Oryctolagus cuniculus: one gene and its partner. The protein of the gene in region 2 purifies or fractionates together with the protein of the main gene of each other region. This does not show direct contact. Links are inferred from orthologs where the notes say so. Each region holds a gene or a part of one and is shown on either strand. Other genes may lie near its edges.

The links.
Region 1: the proteins of MED21 (region 2) and POLR2M purify together in Homo sapiens (affinity purification with mass spectrometry; 3 studies listed by BioGRID and IntAct, with this or other methods). This does not show direct contact. The link is inferred for Oryctolagus cuniculus from reciprocal best matches to the Homo sapiens genes MED21 and POLR2M.

What each region holds. Positions count from the first base shown.
Region 1 is NC_091443.1:80,573,603-80,584,749, reverse strand, and holds the end of POLR2M (protein GRINL1A), read right to left. Parts: intron 9,390-11,147; coding exon 8,730-9,389; intron 5,843-8,729; coding exon 5,638-5,842; intron 2,925-5,637; coding exon 2,781-2,924; 3' UTR 1,748-2,780; downstream 1-1,747.
Region 2 is NC_091440.1:124,253,818-124,264,487, reverse strand, and holds MED21 (mediator of RNA polymerase II transcription subunit 21), read right to left. Parts: upstream 8,587-10,670; 5' UTR 8,386-8,586; coding exon 8,344-8,385; intron 5,969-8,343; coding exon 5,854-5,968; intron 4,997-5,853; coding exon 4,896-4,996; intron 3,900-4,895; coding exon 3,723-3,899; 3' UTR 3,064-3,722; downstream 1-3,063. UniProt on the Homo sapiens protein: Component of the Mediator complex, a coactivator involved in the regulated transcription of nearly all RNA polymerase II-dependent genes.

The sequences.
Region 1 (11,147 bases), on a different chromosome or scaffold from region 2:
AAAATAGCATTATAAATCAAGAGGGAGAAGCAGTGATTTATGATTCTGAACCAACTGGAAACTGCAAAAATTAAAATTAAATCCTCATCTCCTACAAGGCTTCAAAATAAATCTAATTTTTATTATAAAGCTGAGTATATTAAATGATTATAAGGAAGATAAAAATTCCTTTTGAATTAAAAATGTCTTAAAAGTGGAATATCTTTTGGGATTAGTTAGAGTATGTTCAAGTACACACACAGAGGTAGACGCCTAAAAACAAAAACTTCAATATAGAAACAGCACAAGTTTCACTGAAAAGCAAGTAATATAAAAAATTTTGCCATAAAGAACTTATAAACCAAGAAAAAAGGTGAGAACAGGAAAAAATGTTAAGAGCAATTTTCAAAAAAATGAATATAAATGGTCACATGAAAAAACATTCAGCTTTCCCTAAGTAATCACAAATTTTAAATGTAGCCCCCTTCTGTAATTATTTAATCTGCAAATATTTTTAGTAATTTTTAATTCTCAGAGTTTAAGATAACGCTAGTGGGAATCTAAATGGACACAACCTCTGGAATGACCTGCCAGAATATTTCAAAAAGTTCAAGGAAAAGTGGAATTAAAAGATACGTTTATTTTCGTGTAAAAAATTTTGAAATCCATGCAGTTTTTACAAATATGCATTTCCCATGAGCTTTTTGAAGTACTCTTGAATATCGAAAAAAACACATATACCTTCACCTAGCAATTTTACCTCTAGAAATGTACCTTCTGGAAGTGTTATTTTGAACAGATGCGATTATAGATGCTGTTTTATATCACTGTTTATAGATTACATAAAACAATCAAGTTGTAAAGAGGAAAATGATTATAAAAGTTATGGCATCCCATTTTATGGAACAATTTGCAGCTACCTAAAATGCAAAATATCTAATATGGGAAAATGTATACAATGCATAGAGCACAGATTATGAAACAGTGTACAGGATGACGCGTTTTTAAAAAACACGTGTATGGTTGGGGCCGGCGCCGTGGCTCATTTAGCTAAATCCTCCGCCTGTGGCACTGGCATCCCATGTGGGCGCCAGGTTCTAGTCCCGGTTGCTCCTCTTCCAGTCCAGATCTCTGCTGTGGCCCGAGAGTGCAGTGGAGGATGGCCCTGCACCCACATGGGAGACCAGGGGAAGCACCTGGCTTCTGGCTTCGGATCGGCGCAGTGGGCTGGCCATAGTGGCCATTTGTGGAGTGAACCAACAGAAGGAAGACCTTTCTCTCTGTCTCTCTCATTGTCTGTAACTCTGTCAAATAAATAAAAAAATAAATAAATAAAATCTAAAAAAGTATGTGTATGGCTATACATAGAAAAGTACAAAATCAAACAGTGAAATGTTCAGATTGTGTCTGGGTGTTAGGATTACAGGACACTGTAAGTACCTGCACGTGAGCCCTTGCAAACCACCAAATTTTCCAGAAATAACAGGTGTATTTCATTCTACTGACATGGAATGTCAAATTTTATGTGAAAGCATGTTATTACTTACAAAAATTAAAAACAGTTATGACTGTTAGCTCAGTACATTTTTTTCATCTGCTTTTCCAGGAGGAGAGGGGAGACAGAGAGCAGTTACCACAACTGGAAGCGTACGAAATAGAACTGAGCCCTTCCTATCAAACATATTTTCAGTCAAATCTCATACATGAACACTCTTTTGTAGTAGGAAGTTAAATTTAACTAAATACCAGTAAAATACAACCATGAGTGTTTAAGTTGCTCTAATATTTTATTTTTCCTTTCAACATTTTTTAAAAGCTTCAACATTTTAGACAATTTTTTTTGTAACATAAGTATTAATCTCTGGAGACAACCATAAAATCACTTAAAAGGACATGAACACGTGTGTGTGTGTGTGTGTGTGTGTGTGTATAAGACTGAGGTTTCTACAGCCTATGTATGTCTCTTTGAAGAAAAAAAATACACTGACAATTGTAACTTTTAAAAAACAATTATTGGTTTCCTTACCAAACATTAGTGTCCTACACAATGAACCCATCATGAGTGAGAGCAATGAACTCCAATCAGGTGAAACACAAAAGAGCTATTGCTCCCAGCAAGCACAGTCGGCTTGGACTTTTCCTGTATCTCATAGTACTCCAGGCAAACCTGGTCACCTATAAAGACCGTCCACCTTCCAGCATGTACTCAAAGTACTTATTCCTGATCAGAGGAAAGGTAACATTCTTCCTAAGGTGAGACGGAAGGAAACAAACATTTGTTAAGAATTTTCTGAGTATCTTCCTAGGTATTTCAAACCCAGTATCTCAGTAATTCCATGCAAACATGCATAATTCTCCAGACTTCATCCTTTCATTATTTAAAAAAGCAGGGAACTATGTCTTCCTAATTTACTTTAGCTGCCTGGGACAACTAAGTGTTTCACTGAAAGACATGTAATAAATCCTATTTGATTGAGTTATTAAAAAATAAAATTATCTTTCATTTGGCTTAAAGGAAAAAAAATGTGTTTTATCATACACTCAAATATCAGACCAATGCACAACATACTGCAAAACTTTAATACAATGTGGTTACATACTGTTTTCAAATATTAAACTTCAAGCACATGAAAGTCATCTGAAAGACAAACTGGGCTTTTGTTCACAGTTGCCGTTGTGTAACTTCACAAAATTCTTTCCCTCAACAAGGTCTGACACTGATCTTGATGCTTACAAAGTAGGATGTGAGATAATGACATTTCAACAGCCTGAGGTTTAGGAGATGATCCCAATGCCCATCTTCAGCATTCATCATCGGAGGACTGATCATCTTCATCCCTTACTTCCCGGTATTGCCTGGAAGACTCCCCTTCTGGATTGTAACTCTGCATTTTAATATTCAGTTTTTCAGCTAATTTTTGTGCTGCGAGCTTTGCTTGCATCTCCTTTAAAACAAAGGGGAAAGGAAAAAGTTACACATTCACACTTTTCCTTACAATTTTTCAATGGTAAGTTCTTCAAACAGACTCAGAAAAAAAGAGGCGGTAACACCCCACTTGGAGGTCTCTGCAGCAATGGCAGGAGCCCGATGGCTGCACCCCACCACAGATACAAAGGGCAATGCTTCTGAGACCTATCAGCCTGCTGGCTGTCGTAACCGATGTCCACTACCGAACAACAATGCACTGAAATATCCTACCTCTTTACAAATTAACTTTACAACAGTTACAAATATGGGTACATTAAGTCTGTGGGCACATGCATGTATACATACAAAACAATGAGACTTATCTAATGTCAAAAATCTCCAATGCTGTACTGAATTCCCTGACAGAGCCTTCCTCCCTAGATTAAATCTTAGCTTCTAGGCCTGAGAGTTATACTTCAATAGCACAATGAAAATCAAGAAATTAATGCTTGAAAAATGACTACCTCTATCCAAGAAAAGTCCTACAGAGGGGCCAGCGCCATGGCGCAATACGTTAATCCTCCACCTGCAGCACCAGCATCCCACATGGGCACTGGTTCTAGTTCCGGCTGCTCCTCTTCCAATCCAGCTCTCTGCTATGGCCTGGGAAAGATGATGGCCCAGGTTCTTGGGCCCCGGTACCCTGTGGGAGACCCTGAAGAAGCTCCTGGCTCCTGGCTTCTGATCGGAGCAGCTCTGGCCATTGCAGCCATTTGGGGAGTGAACCAGCAGGTGGAAGACCCTTCTTTCTGTCTCTTCCTATCACTGTCTGTAATTCTACCTCTCAAATAAATAAATAAAATCTTTAAAAAAAAAAAAAAAAAAGTCCTACAGAAACAAGTATCCAACAAAAGCCCAAATAAATTTTAGACACTGGTGATGTGCTTACTGCACACACGCAAGGGCTTCACCACCAACTGCTGGCAGGTGGCAATGCTCATTCCTGGCTTTGCTCCTCCCTTTTCTCATGCTTCCTTCTTCCTTTATCACTTCAACTTCTTTATTGTCTTCCCCTCAGGCCAGGAATATTAAGAGTAAGTATAGTGGGAGCAACTACAATGTCTCTTGCAAGGAAGCTAATTTCAAGCTGCAGGGTTTAATTTAACCTAAAAACATCTTAGGATGGCATTTATGATTCCACAGACAATTTAAAAACATTTCCTTGATGTTGCAGTCCTAAGTAGGTGACACTTCTAATGCACCAAAAGGGAAAACAAGTGACTACTAAAAAGGAGTGCTGGAGCTGGCGCTGTGGCACTGCAGGTAAAGCTGCCATCTGCAGTGCTGGCATCCCATATGGGCACTGGTTCAAATCTTGACTGCTCCACTTCCAATCCAGCCCCTGCTAATGTGCCTGGGAAAGGAGTAAAAGATGGCCCAAGTACTTGGGCTCCTGCACCCACATGAGAGACCCGGAAGAAATTCCTGGCTCCTGATCAGTTCAGCTCTGACCGTTGTGGCCATTTGGGAAGTGAACCAGCAGATCAAAGATCTCTCTCTCTCTCTGCCTTTCAAATAAATGAATAAATCTGAGGGGGAAGAAAAAAAAAAGAATGCTTCAAAAATACCAATCCAGGACAACTGAATTTTTAAGAAAAGTGAAGACAGGGGCCGGCGCTGTGGCATAGCAGGTTAAGCTGCCGCCTGCAATGTTACATCCCATATGGGCACCGGTTCTAGTCCCGGCTGCTCTGCTTCCTATCCAGCTCTCTGCTATGGCCTGGGAAAGCAGAAGATGGGACAAAACCTTGGGCCCCTGCACCTGTGTGGGACACCCTGAAGAAGCTCCTGGCTCCTGGCTTCAGATCGGCTCAGCTCTGGCCGTTGTGGCCATCTGGGGAGTGAACCAGCAGATGGAAAACCTCTCTCTCTGTAACTCTTTCAAATAAATAAAATAAATCTTTAAAAAAAAGAAAAAAAGGAAAAGTGAAGGGAGAGTAGAGCCTAGTTTTCTATTAGTTAGTGCACAGCACCTGATGGGGATGTAGCTAAGCAATATCTAGGAAGTAAGACAAGATACTTTCCCTGGAAGCTCAAATTATCACTAAGTATATCAATATTTTCTATTCCCTCTATAGTCTACACACATTTTCTCCCATCCCATTAATCTATACATATATTCTCAACATCCACTTAAAGTTCTATGTCAAACACATGGAGCAGTGGACAAAGTACTACCTAACACTAAGTCACTAAAAGCGGATGATGCTGTAAGCAGTGTGTCCCACCATCTGTTGGCAACCTGCTATCCTCCACTGCTCCTCGGCACTCCCCTGGTACTGTACAGACGGAAGCCAGGGAGCTACAGTTCCCTGATTCTGGGTTAGATTCTACCAATGAATCTAATTTAGAAGGTGAAAGACAAAGGAACAATGCTATCCTATCCTAACAGAAGTGGTACAGCAATGGGCTTTAAGATGTAAAATTGTGCAGTAGTCTCCCCATGTTTCCTGGCAAATCACCACTTTGTAATACTGAGGGAGACTTAATCACCTCCAGCTGTTTCCCAGAAGTCTTAGCAACTTTGTGACTCTTTGTAAACTAAAGGCACATGACTGATGGCCAATGGGATGGCTGACCATTTCTCTAGCACCTAACCCCTTCTACTGCATTCTTTCCTTCTTGACTACCTGCAATAAATTCTGACCTATCAACATACAGACAAGAAAAAAAATTAGTAATCTAAATACCTCATAATTCTGTTTCTGCTGTTTCTGAAGTGCCAAAGATTCCTCTATAGAGAGCAGCTGTGTAGGCAGATGGTGAAGTGGGAGAAGCCGAGCTGCTGTGATGTCATCAAGATGCTGCTTGTCCCTGCGTCGCCGCTCTTCTGAGGCAACAGGAGACTCTCCCCGCTGTCGGTGACTAGACGAATCACTCTGTCGCGAAGGTAACCTAAAGGAGGGAAAACTTACCTTATACAATCAGGTATTTTCCCATTAATAGAGCAAGTGAGCTCCTAACTTAACAATGGTAAAGTACATCCATACGATCATTTGGTTTTTCATTCTCAGTATGGCATTCAATAAATTACATGAGGTAGTCACTATATTATAAAACAGGCACATGTTGATGACTTCTCCCGACGGTATGTGAATATAAGTGTTCTGAGCACTGCAGGTAGGCTAGACTAAGCCACGGTATTCTGTAGGTTAGGTGTAGTATTTCTAATTTATGATGCGCTACCAAGACATACCCCATCATAGGTCAAGGAGTATATACATACAGCACACACAAGCTCTTTCCTCTTCCTTCCCTCTTTAAATCTTACATCAAGCCGGCACCGCGGCTCACTAGGCTAATCCTCTGCCTTGCGGTGCTGGCACACCGGGTTCTAGTCCCGGTCGGGGCACCGGATTCTGTCCCGGTTGCCCCTCTTCCAGGCCAGCTCTCTGCTGTGGCCAGGGAGTGCAGTGGAGGATGGCCCAAATACTTGGGCCCTGCACCCCATGGGAGACCAGGAGAAGTACCTGGCTCCTGCCTTCGGATCAGTGCAGTGTGCCGGCCGCAGCGGCCACTGGAGGGTGAACCAACGGCAAAGGAAGACCTTTCTCTCTGTCTCTCTCTCTCTCTCACTGTCCACTCTGTCAAAAAAAAAAAAAAAAAAAATCTTACATCAAATCCAAGCTATGTTTTTCACTTATTCATTCAAAGAACATTGGCTATAGGGCTTACTGTCCATAAGAGGAAAATAAACATGTAAACAGTTTCAGTGAAATATAATACCACAGATCCTATCACAGTTGCGGCCAGTTCTAGCAAGGGACAAGGAGTTTGCCAGTTTCAAAAAAGTGAAATTTGAACAGCCTTGGAATAATAAGTGCTCACCATGTAACAGGGGGAGAAGAGCACTCGAGCACCAGGAGTGAGGGGCAACATGGCTGCAGCATACAGAAGTAAGAGGATGGAAAAGCCAGAAAAGGCAAGAGAAGGCTGGGAAGTAGGCTGGGCCCAGATCACAAGGAAGAGTTACAGTCTATATAACTGGTAGAGATTTGCATATTACAAGTTTGATTCTGGCAGGAGTGGAGAAGCACAACTGGGAGTTAAGACTCTAGGCAAGAACAGTCCACAACTATAGCTCAAAAGAGATGCAAACCTTCACTGTGACAGGAGGGGATGAAGATAAGAACATTTATAGAGATGGAAGATTAAGGAAATAAATTATGTGGATCTTCACAGCTAGCAAATATAAAGAAAAGACACCTGGGAGGTAGTAGAGGGGATGGGGCAGAGAGATATGGCAGCACTATAACCTAGAGATTATGGGAGGAAAGTCAGTTTAGATATAAATAGGAGTTTCACTTTGTACATGAAAAACCTGAATTGTCACAGACACCCAAGTGGTCATGTTTTATAGATAACATGCCACACAAATCTAAAGTTTTAGCAAGACTTAGACTAAAAGTAGATAAAAGGCAGCTTTTGGCATTCAAATTGTCTCTGAAGCCAAAGGAAAGCGGAGAAGGTGCCAAAGGACACAACCTCATCCACTGTCCAAACTCCCAGGCACTGCTCACACATGGAAGCCACCCATTCCCTGCCTATTTATGGCCTACTGACTCATCAAGGCCTAGCTTTTCCTGATCTCTTCTAACTGCACAGAAAATTCCTTCTCTTTAAATTCCTTAACCTTCAGAGGCCCTCATTATTATTTCCTTATCTCTCTCTTGCTCCCAACAAGATCATAATACATAATCAGGATCATTATATCTTTTATTTATTGACTAGATTTTCTAAAATGTCCTTATAGAAATGAAGAAAGATACCTCACTGCATACAAGATGAGAGATTACTCACAGATTACTTTTTATTACTAAAATTTAAAGTTTTAGTTTCTTACACACCAGAAATAAGATGATTTGATGTTAAAAACAAATAAAGAGTGAGGTAGGATAAAGCTGAAAGTTCATTCAAGTCCCTTTATAATAATAAAATCACAAAAAAACCACCTTTTTGATATTTTTAGCTAAAGATTTTGTTTTTCAAAGTAGTATAGTGATAGTTTGAGTTTGGATCTGATGTTCCATCTTTGGAAACAGGCATGAACCAGCCACTACTTGCCGATTTGGACGTTACACCTGCTACAAGTAATTACCTACTATTTTCTCTTAAAGAGGTTTTTTTCCTGGAGATCTCAAAAACCAAACAATGGCAAGAAACTCAGAAGCAAGGTTTTTGCCCATGCTGCCTGAATCTGTTTTCACAGTTTATTATCCTCCTCTCTTCTCCCTTCCCACTGAAACTATTATTATATACTTTGATTTTTTTTCACCAGGTATGTAAACCTTGATTCCTCATCAGCATCCTAGACTGAGTAACAGAAACTATTTCACTGTGTCCTCACAGCACCAGAGGCCTACATATAGCATGAACACACAAGTACAAGTACAATTTTGCTGAGAGTCCATCACTTCCTGCATTGCTTTGCCCTTACAGACTAATCAAAGGGGGAGCAGTAACCAGAAACTGGTTCTAATAAAAAAAATCAATAAATTCTCTCCTTAGCTCTGTTTATTATGAAATACTGGCTAAGTATCCTGAAATTTAATACTCCCCCACCAACATAAAATCTGTTCAATTATTTGGCTTTAAAAACAAAAGTATTTTTCAACAAGAATCCTCTTTCCAGTGAGGCTAGTCTCACTGCTTCCATAATATGCCCCATCTCTAACCACAAGCAGCACTCAAAGGAAGCCAAATGTGCTTATGGCAGCCTCCCAAGTTTGGGGGTAGAACAAATATTAGGTTCCTGTGCTAGTATGTTTCCAACGATACTTACACATTGGTTTTAAATTTATGTGGTAAGGGCAGTGGGTTTTTGGCTCGCATTTCTAGCACTTCCATGTAATGAGGCTTCTTCTGAGTCCCGCTCCCAAAGCCCGTCACGTTCTCAGTCAAGTTCTCAGTCCTCGTGTATCCTTCTGAGGGATGTTCACTCTGGTCTGCAATTGTGATCCTTTGCAACTTATCAATAAACAGGTTGTCAAGGCTGCTGGAAACGTCCTCCACTTGACTTGAAACACTATGCTGAGGGAGATGCTCTCTGGCTTCAGCCGAGGAAAGCACGCTGGCACTGCTGTTGCTGGAAGCTGGGCACTTGTTCGCTGGGTCCTCAGCCTCTGGAGTCTCTTCCTCACCTTTGTGAGGAGGATGTACAAGTCCCTGTTTATGTGAGGTTGTCTGAGATGACTTGACGTTATCTACAGAGGAACAGCCAGGAACTAGTGATGACGTAGCAAGTATCTGGTCAGAATTCTGGGCCTTATGTATGTCCACATCAACTGCATCTGCTTTTTGCCTTAGCGTACAGTCTAAACTAACAGGATGAAAGAGTTCACTTTTCCCTCTAACCTCTTCACGTCCTGCAATGGCAGCTTTCAGTTTGGCAACGGTGTCTATGACCTTTTTACCTTTGTCGGGCAATTTGCAAATGAATTTTCTGTCAAATGGAAAAGAACAGGTATACATTAGGGCCATGGCTTTAAACTTGAGGCGTAACACTTAACAGACAAAGCACCATCCTCCAAGGGAGCAAACTGATTTTTAAGTTAATGTCTGATTTTTACCAGCTCCCAAACAGGAATGAAACAATACAACAATTTTCCAAATACATTTAGAAAACAAGTGGATAGAAGAACAGAGAATATAGGCCTCATCTGTCTCTTCTATTTAGAATCTTGGCAAAAGGACTTGAAGAATACAGGCTGAACACTTCTAATCTGAAAATTTTTTTAGCACTAACATGATGTTCTAAGTGGAAAATCCATGCCTGACCTTATGTGACAATTGTAGTCAAAATGCAGGTACAATAAAAACCTGTCTAAAAGTCAAGCTATGAGCATATGCAACATAAATGAACTGTGTTTAGACTTGGGTCTCATCCCTAAATATCCCATTATGAATATACAAATATTAAAGACAATTTAAAAAAAAAAAAAAAACAAAATCTGAGACATTTCTGGTCTTAAGCATTTCAGATAGGGGAGACTTAACCTGTGTGATTATCATACAAGATATCCCCCAAATTCATAGTTTTTAAAATGTAATCTCCAAAACCTGCTGGGGGAATGGGCCTGCAGAGTCAGAATTATTCCAACAACACTACTAAAGCGTTATTTACCACCTCCCTCTCAAGTTCTCACAGGGGTAGGGTGAACTTTTCCAGAAGCCACATGATGTGTGACACCATCCTGGCTCTGAAGTGGAATGTGTGCTCATGTGTTCACGAAAAACAAGAGCTCTTTGGCATGCCCAGCTCTTAAATAAGAGTATAAGGAGATCTTCACACCCAAATGTTAATTCACTGCCATTCTCACAATGTCACAGCAACACCTGTCTACTACAAAGACCCTCAAGTGACTGCTTTTTTGGAAGTGACATAAGTTTCTTTTCTAATTTCCTTTTCTTCGGCCATACAATACATAAGGGGCGAGGTTACATCTGAGACCCTCTAGTAGTTTTTTTTCCTCTGACATTACATTCATGCTTTCAGTTTCAACTACCTATGAACAACTCAGTGCATTCAAGATTCCCCAATTTCCCCAACCCCCTCCACCTCCCCTTCCCTCTCTCCTGCTCTCCTCTCAACTCCATGCACTCGAAGTACAAATCAACCTTGCCTCTACTCCCTCCCCTCACTTTTTCTATTTCTCTTGGTGGCTCTCCTCACACATGGGAAACTTCAGCCATCTTAATCCCTGCCTGACAAAGTTTTGCCAATCCCACGGCCGGCCGCCGTCCCAGTTCACTTTCCTGCGACCTCCTTGCAGGAAACCTCTCTAAAAGTATCCTCCTGGGGTCTTCCGCCTCTTAGTCCGTCAAGCCATCCTGCTCCGAGCTGCTGAACACGAAACTGCCCTTCAAACACCCCTTTTGTCATTTCGCGCCCCTGCTAACCATCCGGGTCGTCTGCCAGCTGAATGGGAGTCAAGTTCTCGGCCTGAGAAACCGTTCTTTACATCTCACTCTTCTCATTCCTCACCGGTTCCCGTAAGGAAAGGATCGAGAGAGAAAACTGGCAACAGATTTTCGGCGCCAGGCCCGGGGCGGGAGAACAGGGTTATCTGGGACACAAGCTTTCCCTTCAAAGCCGACATGGGAACTGAGTAAACAAAACCAACGAGGGGCTGGCGGACCAGCTTAGCTCCACGCTAAGCAGCCGCTGGGGACACGAGCCACCCCCACGAGCTGCAGCAGC
Region 2 (10,670 bases):
GCATCCCATATCAGAGTGCCTGGGATTAGATCCTGCCCCCATTTCCAATCTAGCTTCCTGCTAATGTGCCTGGGAGCAGATGATGGCCCAAGTTTTTTGATTCCTGCCACCCACAATGGGAGACCCAGTTGGAGTCCCTCAGTTCTAGCATAGGCTTAGCCCAGCCCCAGCTGTTGTGGGCACTTAGTGAACACGTAGACTGTTCTTGCTTGTTCATGTTTTCTCCCTCCCACACCATTACTCTGCCTGTCAAATAAATAAAACCTTTTAAAAATGTGCTACTTCATTCTGAACTTTCTGGTTTCTGCAGAGAAATATACTGTTATTTTGGAACCTTTGTTCCCTTACAGACAACATGTCACTTCATTGTGGTCGCTTTCAACGACTTTACTTTTCAGATATTTGATTATGATTCACCTGAGTGTACACTTCTTCGCATTTTTATTTTTATTTTTTTTGACAGGCAGAATTAGACAGTGAGAGAGAGACAGAGAGAAAGGTCTTCCTTTTCCATTGGTTCATCCCCCAAGTGGCCGCTATGGCCGGTGCACTGCACTGATCTGAAGCCAGGAGCCAGGTGCTTCCTCCTGGTCTCCCATGCGGGTGCAGGGCCCAAGGACTTGGGCCATCCTTCACTGTACTCCCCGGCCATAGCAGAGAGGTGGACTGGAAGAGAAGCAACCAAGACAGAATCCGGCGCCCCAACCAGGACTAGAACCCAGGGCGCCGGCCCACATTTGTTTTTGGCTTGGGGTCTTGCTGAATTTCTTGCATATATAGGCTGTGCTTTCACTCAGGTTATTTTTTTTTTTTATGATTATTTAGCTCTACACTCTCTCTCCTCGTGTGAATATTAGATATTTGTATTTTCTTATTGTCCCATAGGTACCTGAGGCTTTGCTCAATTTTTTTTTTCAATTTATTTTCTCTTATTTAGGTTGGTAGTTTCTCAATCTGTCCTCCAGTTCACTGATGTCACCTTTACATCATTTTAAGTTTTATCTGTTTGAGAGAGAGGATAGGCAGACATCTTCCATCGGCTGTTTTACTCCCTAAATGTCCACAAGACAGGACTGGGCCAGGACAAAGTAGAAGCCAGGAGCTTTATCCAGGTCTCCCATGTGGGTGCAGTTGCCCAATTACTCAGGCCATCCTCCTATGCTTTTCCCAAGCACATTAGCAGGGAGCTGTATTGGAAGCAGAGCAGTGGGGACTCTAAATGGTGTCCATATGGGACGCTGGTGTTGCTGGTGGCGGCTTAATCTGCTGCACTGTGGGGAGCAGCTCGGACTATACTGTTACTGGAATTAAGACTTATTCTATGCATCTGCTCTCCCACAATATGGCGCTGGGAGAGGAGAAAACAGCTTCTACGCAGCTGCCTCCAGTTCAACCAATAAACTGTAGGACTTGCTCCTGATTGGAGAGCAGCGTACTCGGCGTGTGGGCAGCTGAGTTAGGATTGGCGGAGGAGGACTATAAAGGAGGAGAGAGATGGCATGCACCGGAAACATCTATGGGGAACATCTAAGGGGAACACCTGTGCAGCCCCCAGAGAGCCGGCCGGCGGTGTGCCGCTCCCCTGCAGAAGTGGGGAATGTGGCTAGGGGGAACTGCCCTTCCACGGAGGTGGAAGGGACAGTAGCCAACCCGGGAAGAACCAGCAGCAAACCCGGGGAGGGCTGAGCAGACGAAAGAACAGCGCAGGGTCCTGTGTCGTTCCTCCACGAAGACGGGGAGCGACACTGCACCACAGCATTGTCCCGCACCCCACCCCTATACGTATATCTTCATTCTATTGAACTAACCAGTGAGTTTGTTACTGTGTATTTTTATTCTAAAATTTCCATTTTCCTCTTTGTATCTTTTATTTCTCAGTTAAGACTTTGTCTTTTTACTTCTTTGAAGAGTGTTCACTAGAGAATGTTTATAATAGCTACTTTGAAATGTTAAATGCCTGGCAGAGTAAAGTGGTTTTTTTTTTCCCCTAGGAATTTATTTGAAAGGTACAGTGACACAGAGAGGGAGATCTTCCATCCTCTGGTTCACTCCCCAGATTCCTTCAACAGCCAGGGCCAGGCCAGGAACCAGGTCTCCCACAAAGGTAGCAGGAACCCAAGTATTTGGCTAAGCCTGTTAGCCAAGATCTAGACTGGAAGCAGAGGCAGGACCCCATCCCAGGCACTCCAATACAAAGTCCGTGTATCCCAGTGGGTGGTATAATCTATCGCACCACAACATCCACCCCACTAAGTATTTCTAGTAAGCTTCCATCGTAACACCCTGCAAAGATTCAAAGTCCAGACCGTCTATGCCTAAGCAATAAACTGCCGCCACTTCTGCTGCTAAAGTGGGTGTTCTCGGCATTTGAAATGCCTTGTTTCTCAAGAGCTGTGGGGAAGCCTGCTGCAGCAGACTACCATCTTGAGGGTTCTCTGGCAGAGCCAGCTCTGGATAGCAACGGATTCAAGTGAAGTCCTAGAGATTCTGAGACAGAGGCAGGACAGTGTGGAAGATATTTCAACTTCAGATTTCTGGGCAGAAGCCGTGGACTGCAGGAGACCCCAGAGCTGCATCAGTCACTGTAGCTGACATGCTGACACACTGAGGAGCGATGGAGAAAACAACTCTGAAATAACTGCTATGGGAGGATGGCCCTCTTAAAATACAGCGGGGGGGGGGGGGGGGGTAATGAGAGCAGAATACAGGCCTGTAGATAAAGAGAACAAGCCAATCAGGATGAAGAAAACTCACAGCAGCCTGGGAATTTCATTGAGTCAAGGCTTTCTCAGTCAAAGCAAACGTGGAGGTGAATTCAAAGGGACATGAGGTTCTGCAAGAGCAAAGGTTTGCCTCAGTGTGACCTACTCTCACCCGGCCACACTAACACTTTGGGTTTCTGAGAACTGACAAATTTTCAGAAACTTCCTTTCTCAAAGCTCCAAATTTATACAATGCCACCTCCATAGTGGCAAAGATACCAGCCCACTGAAAGATCCATCTCTGCACTGAGAATGTCTCTTCTGGCTTCAGGGTTGTTTTCATTTATGAAAGGACTACCGATTTTTTTTTTTTTTTAAGATTATTTATTTGAAAGAGTTACAGAGAGGCAGAGAGAAAGGAGAGACAGAGAGAGGTATTCCATCCACTGGTTCACTCCCCAAATGGTTGCAATGGCCAGAGCTGGGTGGATCCAAAGCTTGGTGCCAGGAGCTCCTTCTGGGTCTCCTATGCAGATGCAGGGGCCCAAGGACTTGGGCCATCTTCCACTGCTTTCCTAGGCCATTGCAGAGAGCTGGATCGGAAGAGGAGCATCCCAGATTCTTAACAGTGCCCATATGGGATGCCAGCACTGCAAGCGGTGGCTTTTCCTGCCACCCACAGTGCTGGCCCCAGGACTATTACAGAAATTTGAGTTTTAAACAACATACAAACTTTGTCACCAAAGAACAGTGCATGTTTATTTGTATTTTGATCACAAATGCAGTATCTGCCTTAGTAATCTCAGATTAAAAAAAAACTGATAGTTTAAAGCTGGTTCAATCACAACTTTATATGCTTGTTTATCAAGAGTAAAAATAGAAGATTTTAAAAACAGCTACAAAGGTAAAACATGTCATAACGTTTAACGTTTCTGTAACTGCTGGTAAGGCTGACATTTAATCCAAGGTAGAATTCTTAATGGCCTTGAGACAGTTCTTAGCCGCCGGCACGTGCCGGTGCTATGAGTCCGGCAGGGTCTGGCTGTGGGTGCCGCTCCTCGTCTTCAGCTGGGACTGTGCAATGTCAGCGAGTGCACTTTGGATCTTTTCCAGAAGCATGTCCCCTCGGTACACAACATCCTCCAGACAGGTGGCAGCTTCGTGGTTCTCCTCTTCTAGCTTATATAAGCTAGCAGCCTTTTAAGACATAAATTTGACAATCTTTTAGAGTGGAGAAGAGACTGCAGTAGAGGTATTTATTTTTAAATCTCGGTGATTTTGCAACCAGTGATACAGTTTTAATAGGAGAAATTCTCAAAGTGAGGTAACTTAAGTTCCTCCATATGATTATAAAGTAATGGATTTTCAAGAGATCTTACTATCTAGTATGACTCTGTTCCAAACTGCCTTTGCTATCCATTATTTTATTCCTCGTTCAGAAAGCCACCATCCTTTCCTTCTTTGCTAGAAAAAGATAAACCAGAACATACAAGGTTTCCTTCTAACTCAAAATTGGACAACTACTGTACAGCTATTCAGCACAATCTTCAACAGACAATACTAGCACTGAATTAGTGAAACGCCCATCTTAGAGGCTGACATCATGGCGCAGCACGGTAAACCATCATCTGCCACACCAGCATCCCATAAGGGCGCCTGTTCAAGTTCTGGCTGCTCTACTTCAGATCCAGCTCCCTGCTAATGTGCCTAGGAAGGCAGCAAAGGATGGCCCAAGTCCTTGGACCCTTGCACCTACATGGGAGACCCGGAAGAAGCTCCTGGCTCCAGCCTGGTCCAGCTGTGATCATTTCGGAAGTGAACTAGAGTATGGAAAGTATGGGGACAGTGTTGTGAGATGCAGTTGGTTAAGCCACCTCCTGCAATGCCAGCATCCCACATGACTGCTTGGGCTCCTGTCACCCACATGGGAGACCCAGATGGAATTCCAGGCTCTTGGCTTCAGCCTGACCCAGGCCAGACTGTGGTGGCCATTTGGGGAGTGAACCAGTGAATGGAAGGTATCTCTGTCTCCGGCTCCCTCTCTGACTTTGTCTTTCAAGTAAATCCAAGAGTAAATCCTTAAAAATAATCATAAAATAGTTCTGAATATTACAATGAAAGTCAATAAATCTATCTCCTTCAATTCAAAATTCTCTGCTACCAGTAAAATTCTCTAAGAAAAAAGGTTGTTACCTGTAACGCAGCTGTGGATTCTTCACTGGGTAAAGAATCTATCAAAACATCAATATCTTTTGCTGTTCGTGCAATAAGTGCTGCAAAAAGCTGGGCATACTCTGCAGAAAGACTACTCAATTAGTATGAGAAAATCTCGGGTTTACACAAACAGAAAATTAGATTCAAGTTAATGAAACCAGGAAACTTCACCTAACTTTTTAATATTAGAATTCCAATGATCAAAGTGTTATTTTAATGAGTCAGTGTAGTGATGCACTGGGTTGAGCCACTAATCGTAATGCTGGCAACCCATGTCCCAGTGCTGGTTCAAGTCCTGGCTCCTCTGCTTCTGATCCTGCTCGCTGCTAATGTCCCTGGGATAGCAGCAGAAGATGGCCCAAGTACTTGGACCCCTACCACCCATGTGTGAGACCTGGATGGAGTTCCTGGCTCAGTCCCGGCCTTTATGTCCCTGTGGGGAATGAACCAGTAGATGGAAGGTATCTCTCATGCTCTCTGTCTCTCCCTCACTCTCTATCACTCTGCCTTTCAAATAGAAATATTTAAAAGAAAAAAATCAATTTCAAGGCACCAGTTCTGTTACATATTTAACTTAATACAGGCTCAGAGAATTAAGCCTAAGGCATGTTCACTTCATGTATTAGGATAATATGGAAGACACTAGAATCAATGAATCTGTACATGGGATGCCCTAATTATCAGGGTCCGTCAGTAAAGTTCAGCCAAATTCCTAATTCTCTCCAAGGGCACCAATCTGGTATGACACAAGAAGAATTATGGTATTATGCAAGTTAACTACAATAAATAATTTCTGGTATGACATACAAAACGTCCAGTAGTACCTCAGTAACATCTGTATAAAGAAGCAACAGAGTGAATTTCTAAATAAATCTAATTTAAAGGATTACACGAAGTCCGAGAATCAAATAAAGGGAAGCCAAGAAAAGCTGTTTACCTTCGGTGGGATTAGCAGGCTGGTCTTTGTTAATGGCTGTCTGAATGTTGTTAAAAGAGGCAGGAGGCCCACCCTGCTGCAGCACTCCAATGGCGTTACAGAACTGATCTGCAAGCTTGGGCCAGAGAAAACAGGTCAGGATTATACAAAGTTTATCAAGTCTAAAGCTTTTGCTGGTAATGGCAACAAGTTTCCCAAAACAATGCTCTCTGAGCAGGGGAGTGAATCAGAAAGGAGTAATTTCGGATAAAACAAGCCAGTGTGTTAACAATGATTAGATATTTCAACCATGCAAATAAACTTAGTATCAACCTAGGTGGTGTTGATATCAATCTAGATGAGACAGTAAAAATGGAATTAAAAGATCAATATATTTTTATGCAAAAAAATTTTGCAGCCCATGCAAACTTGTATCATCTTTCTTGTCTTCTGAAGCTAACAGAATGATAAAGACAATTTTGTGCCAATATTACAGGCAACGAGACTTTCCACGTATGGCCCCAGATTTAATTTAAAAAAGTGTTACTCATATACAATTCCTTTTCTGAGATCTCAGTGTTCACAAGGCAAAGAAATAGGGGAAATAAGGTGCCTTTTCTAATGCAGTGCTAAGGCTCGCGTTGTTAAAGTATTCCTTCAGCAGCTCTCAAGACTGAGAAACCAGTGCCTTACCATCTTCAACCAGGGACCACAGCTCCCCACCAATCCTCTCACTAGGCCTGACCTCTCAGACCTCAAGTCCTATTTCCCATCAGTGAGGAAGCATTTCCACCGCCCTTCTCCGCCATGACTGCAATGGCCGGACTCGAAGTCACCTGCTCCCCGGATAAGTATCTAACTGGTCTTGAGAGCGTCCTAGCCAACCAGTCTCATTCCAGAGCCTCATGCCTTCCAGCTTCCTATCCCGCGGATGGTTCATTCTCCCCCTTCTGTTCCATCACTTACCTCCTGCCAGAATTACTGCAATCGCGCCCTCACTGTTCTCTGGTTACCCATCGTATTCCCCCCTGCACAAAAACCGCCGGCTCACTCCACTGCGGTCAGCAAGCGGTTTCCAACTTTTCAATAATAATCTCAGCCAGCTCTTCCTAAACATTTTTCACATTTTACTCCCTCACAGTTACTCGCTAGTTATCAGTTTGCTGGTTTGCTATTTGCAATGGAGGGGGAAGAGCTTGGAAGCTATATAAACCTAGATTCTAATCCTGGTTTGATTAACCGGACAAACAGCGGAAACGCACAAAAAACCCTTCAACACAGTGGCTATCTGTACTGTCCCTCACAAGCTTTCAAGATCCATTTAGACGTTCATTCAACAAACAGTGATTGAAAAAAACTCCACGGCAAGAAACGAACATAAACCTAACAGCCGTAACACAAATATGGTGAACACGACATGAATAATTACGATTACGATAATTCAGTATTTCAGGGCGCATGGCTCCATATTCCAATTTACTCAGCACTGACAGCTGAAAACACCGCATTCATTCTAACTCCCTAACCCCATAGTGTTTTTACATCATTTAAACGTCCCCTGAGTATGTGACATCATCCTTATGCCCTTCAGGCTGTCCCTTTGGAACTACGATTGGGCTCCGACACAGCAGGCGCTCATGGCGTACCCTGAAGGCTTCTCTGGAGACCCCAGCTACCAGCAGGCCTCCCCCTGGGGGAGAGGCCACACTCCCTCCGCCCTGCCTCGCCTCCAGGGGCCAGGCCACGAAGGAAGGCTTCCATCCAGCACCAGCATGTGTAGAAGCTCCCCGAGGGCCTGGCAGGATGTCACCCACACTCGGTGGCTGCCCGCTCAGCCTCGCAAGCTCCCGCGCTGTTCACAGCACGCTGGCGCTCTGCAAGCGCTCGGCTCGTCAGCTTCAAGGGCTGGGGGGTGAACAATCACAGTGCCCGCCCAGGCACCCGCCCGGGGACAGCAGCCCCAGCAGGCAGGGCAGCCAGCGGCCGCTCCAAGCCCAGGGCCTAGGGCTCGCACGCACTCTCAGGTGCAAAGCATCGCCAGGGACAACGCCAGGGGAGCCGCTTCTCAAACCCAGGGACCTCAACGCCCGACACAAGGTTCACAAGCTTCCAGACGTCAGCTCTCGCCATCCCCGCCTGAGGGAGCGAACACAACTTCTCCAGGCGCCACCGCTCCTGCTCCCGCCCCTCGAAGTACCGGAGCCCGGCTAAGGCGTCGCACCGAGACGCAGTCTCCAGGGCCCCGGGGCCGAGGTATACGCAGAGAACCGCGTCTGCTTTCTTCTCCTCCCGCCCCCAGCACCAGTGTCCGGCGAGCCCCGTGAGGCCGCCGCCGGGCAAAGGGGCTGCTCCCTCCGCGGCCCCCGCGGCCGGCCTCGAACGCCCCGAATTCGCAGAGGCACCGCCTCCATCTGCTCGCCACCGCCGAAGGCTGCGTCTCGGGCCTCTTCTCCTCCCCCGTTTTACCTCAGGAATGAGGCAGACCGCAAGTAAGCGAATTAAAGCGCCTACCGAGTTCACGGCGTCTTGCAGCTGTGTGAGGCGGTCCGCCATGTTCCTCCCGCACGCAGAGACGCTGCAGCAGCTGCTCCTACGCGATTGGCCAGCTTTCGTACGGGTCACGGCCAATCAGAGTGCGGCTCTCCGGAAGGGGTGGGGTCATGGAGGACACGCCCCGCGAGGAGGGGCGGGTGCCGGGGAGAACGCCGGGTGAGCTACCTGGACCTGCAGCGGCTGGGGCCCGGCATCCTTTGCGCGACTGGGCTCCCTTTCAGGTTGTGAGGTGGTCAGCTGTTTACCGAGATCGTTGAATTCTGTGGGATTATTTAGTGGTTTGTCCTACTTTCCCATGTATTTAAAAATTTATTTATATATTGTCATTTTATTAGAGAGGCAGATTAAGTTCTATCTGCTGATTGATTTTCCAAGTGCCTGCAGCAACTAGGGGCTGAGCCTGGCCAAAGCCAGAGCCTGGAACTCAGTGCAGGTCTCCCACCTGGGAACCACTCCAGCTATAACCTGCTGCCTATCTGGTGCTCACTAGCAGAAGCTAAAATCAGGAGCAGAGCTGGGATTCGAACTCAAGCCCTGTGATGCAGCTGTCCCAAGCAGTGCCTTAGCCACCATGCCACACACCCACCGCCTGCCCAGGGCTACCCCAGTAATCCAGTGGATTAATCCACTCAGAAGGGCCGAGTCACCTTTCCCTATCACTGCCCTGCACAGCTCAGAAACTGTCAACTGACTCATCTCTACTTGCACATCTCAAAGGCACCTGATGTAGTTCAGGTTTGCTGTCACATGCCAGAGAGAGATGCAGTTCCCTAGCTATCCTGGACTGCTCGGGACCCTACTGCAGGAGCAAGGCCGGCGCAGGCGGGTCACAGAGTATCCACACCTCACCTTTTGCTTCATGTTAACACTAAGAGCTCCACCCCAGGGGGAGTGTGAGCTGTGCTGCCGTATGGTGCAGCCAGTGTTGGAGCATTCTTCCAAACTGTACCTTCATGGACCTGTACCCACCCCCAGGTGTGATCAGAACCTCCCTCTTACCTGCTCATCTTTCCCTCTCCCCTGCTCACAGAGTCACGGCTTTGGAAATGACTCCTTGTGGTCTCCTTGTCTGCTGCAGATATATGACTTGGTGTGACAGCTCCTTCTGGTGCATTCCTTAGATGCATGAATGCGGCAGACACATTCAAAGCATGGCAGTGGGGGAGACAGTCCTTGGGGAACTCAGCTTGCAGGACTGAGCCCGGCCCTTTCTGGGAAGCCCCACCTCTGCGTCAATAGACCTGACCTGCTGGGGGAACCACACAGGTGAGACACTTCCCATATCATGGTACCAATGCCAAGTGACTCTCATTTGCTTTAACTGTAGTTTGGAGCAGTCTGTAGCTTTCTTGTACCAGTTGAGAGTATACCGTACCGAATGTTGCACCGTGCCATGGAAGCTGCGTTTGCAAGGGGCAAAAGGTCAGGGACTTGCTAGGAGTTCTACACTTGCCCAAATGTGAGATGAATAGGGCCTGAACTAGAGTGTTGACCTTGATAAAAGCAGAAGTAAAGACTAGAACCCATCTAGGTCTCCCACGTGGGTGCAGGGGTCCAAGCACTTGGGCCATCTTCCGCTGCTTTTCCCAGGCCATTAGCAGAGAGCTTTGTCAGAAGTGGATCAGCGGGACTCCAACCATTGGTCATGTGGGATGTTGGTGTTGCTGGTGGTGCAGGTGCCACAATCCGCTGTGCCACCACTCTGGCCACAGCCTCTTTTCAGAGCCAGTGTTTGTAACCAATCATGTTGTAAAGAATGTTGACGGGGATGGCGCTGTGGCGTAGCAGGTAAAGCCACTGCCTGAAGTGTTGACATCACATATGGGCACCAGTTCCTGTCTGAGCTGCTCCACTTCCAATCCAGCTCTCTGCTATGGCTTGGAAAAACAGCAGAAGATGGCCCAAGTCCTTAGCATCCTGAACCTACCTGGGAGACTGGGAAGAAGCTCCTGGCTCCTGGCTTCAGATCAGTGCAGCTCCAGCCATTGCAGATGGAGTGAACCAGCAGATAGAAGACCTCTCTCTCTCTCTCTCTGCCTCTCTGTAACACTGCCTTTCAAATAAATAAATAAATACTTTAAAAAAAAAAGGAAGAAGAAGAATGTTGTCTCCAGCCCATGAGGAATTCACCCTCCACTTACCTAAAGCCCGCAATTTTGGGCCAAGCCATTGTATCTTCTGTCGTGGATGGTTATGTTCCAACCAGAATTTGACCACACTGGGACACTTCCCAAGACTCATTCAGTCACTGGGCTTGTGTCTCCCTGGCCTGCTCACTCATATTG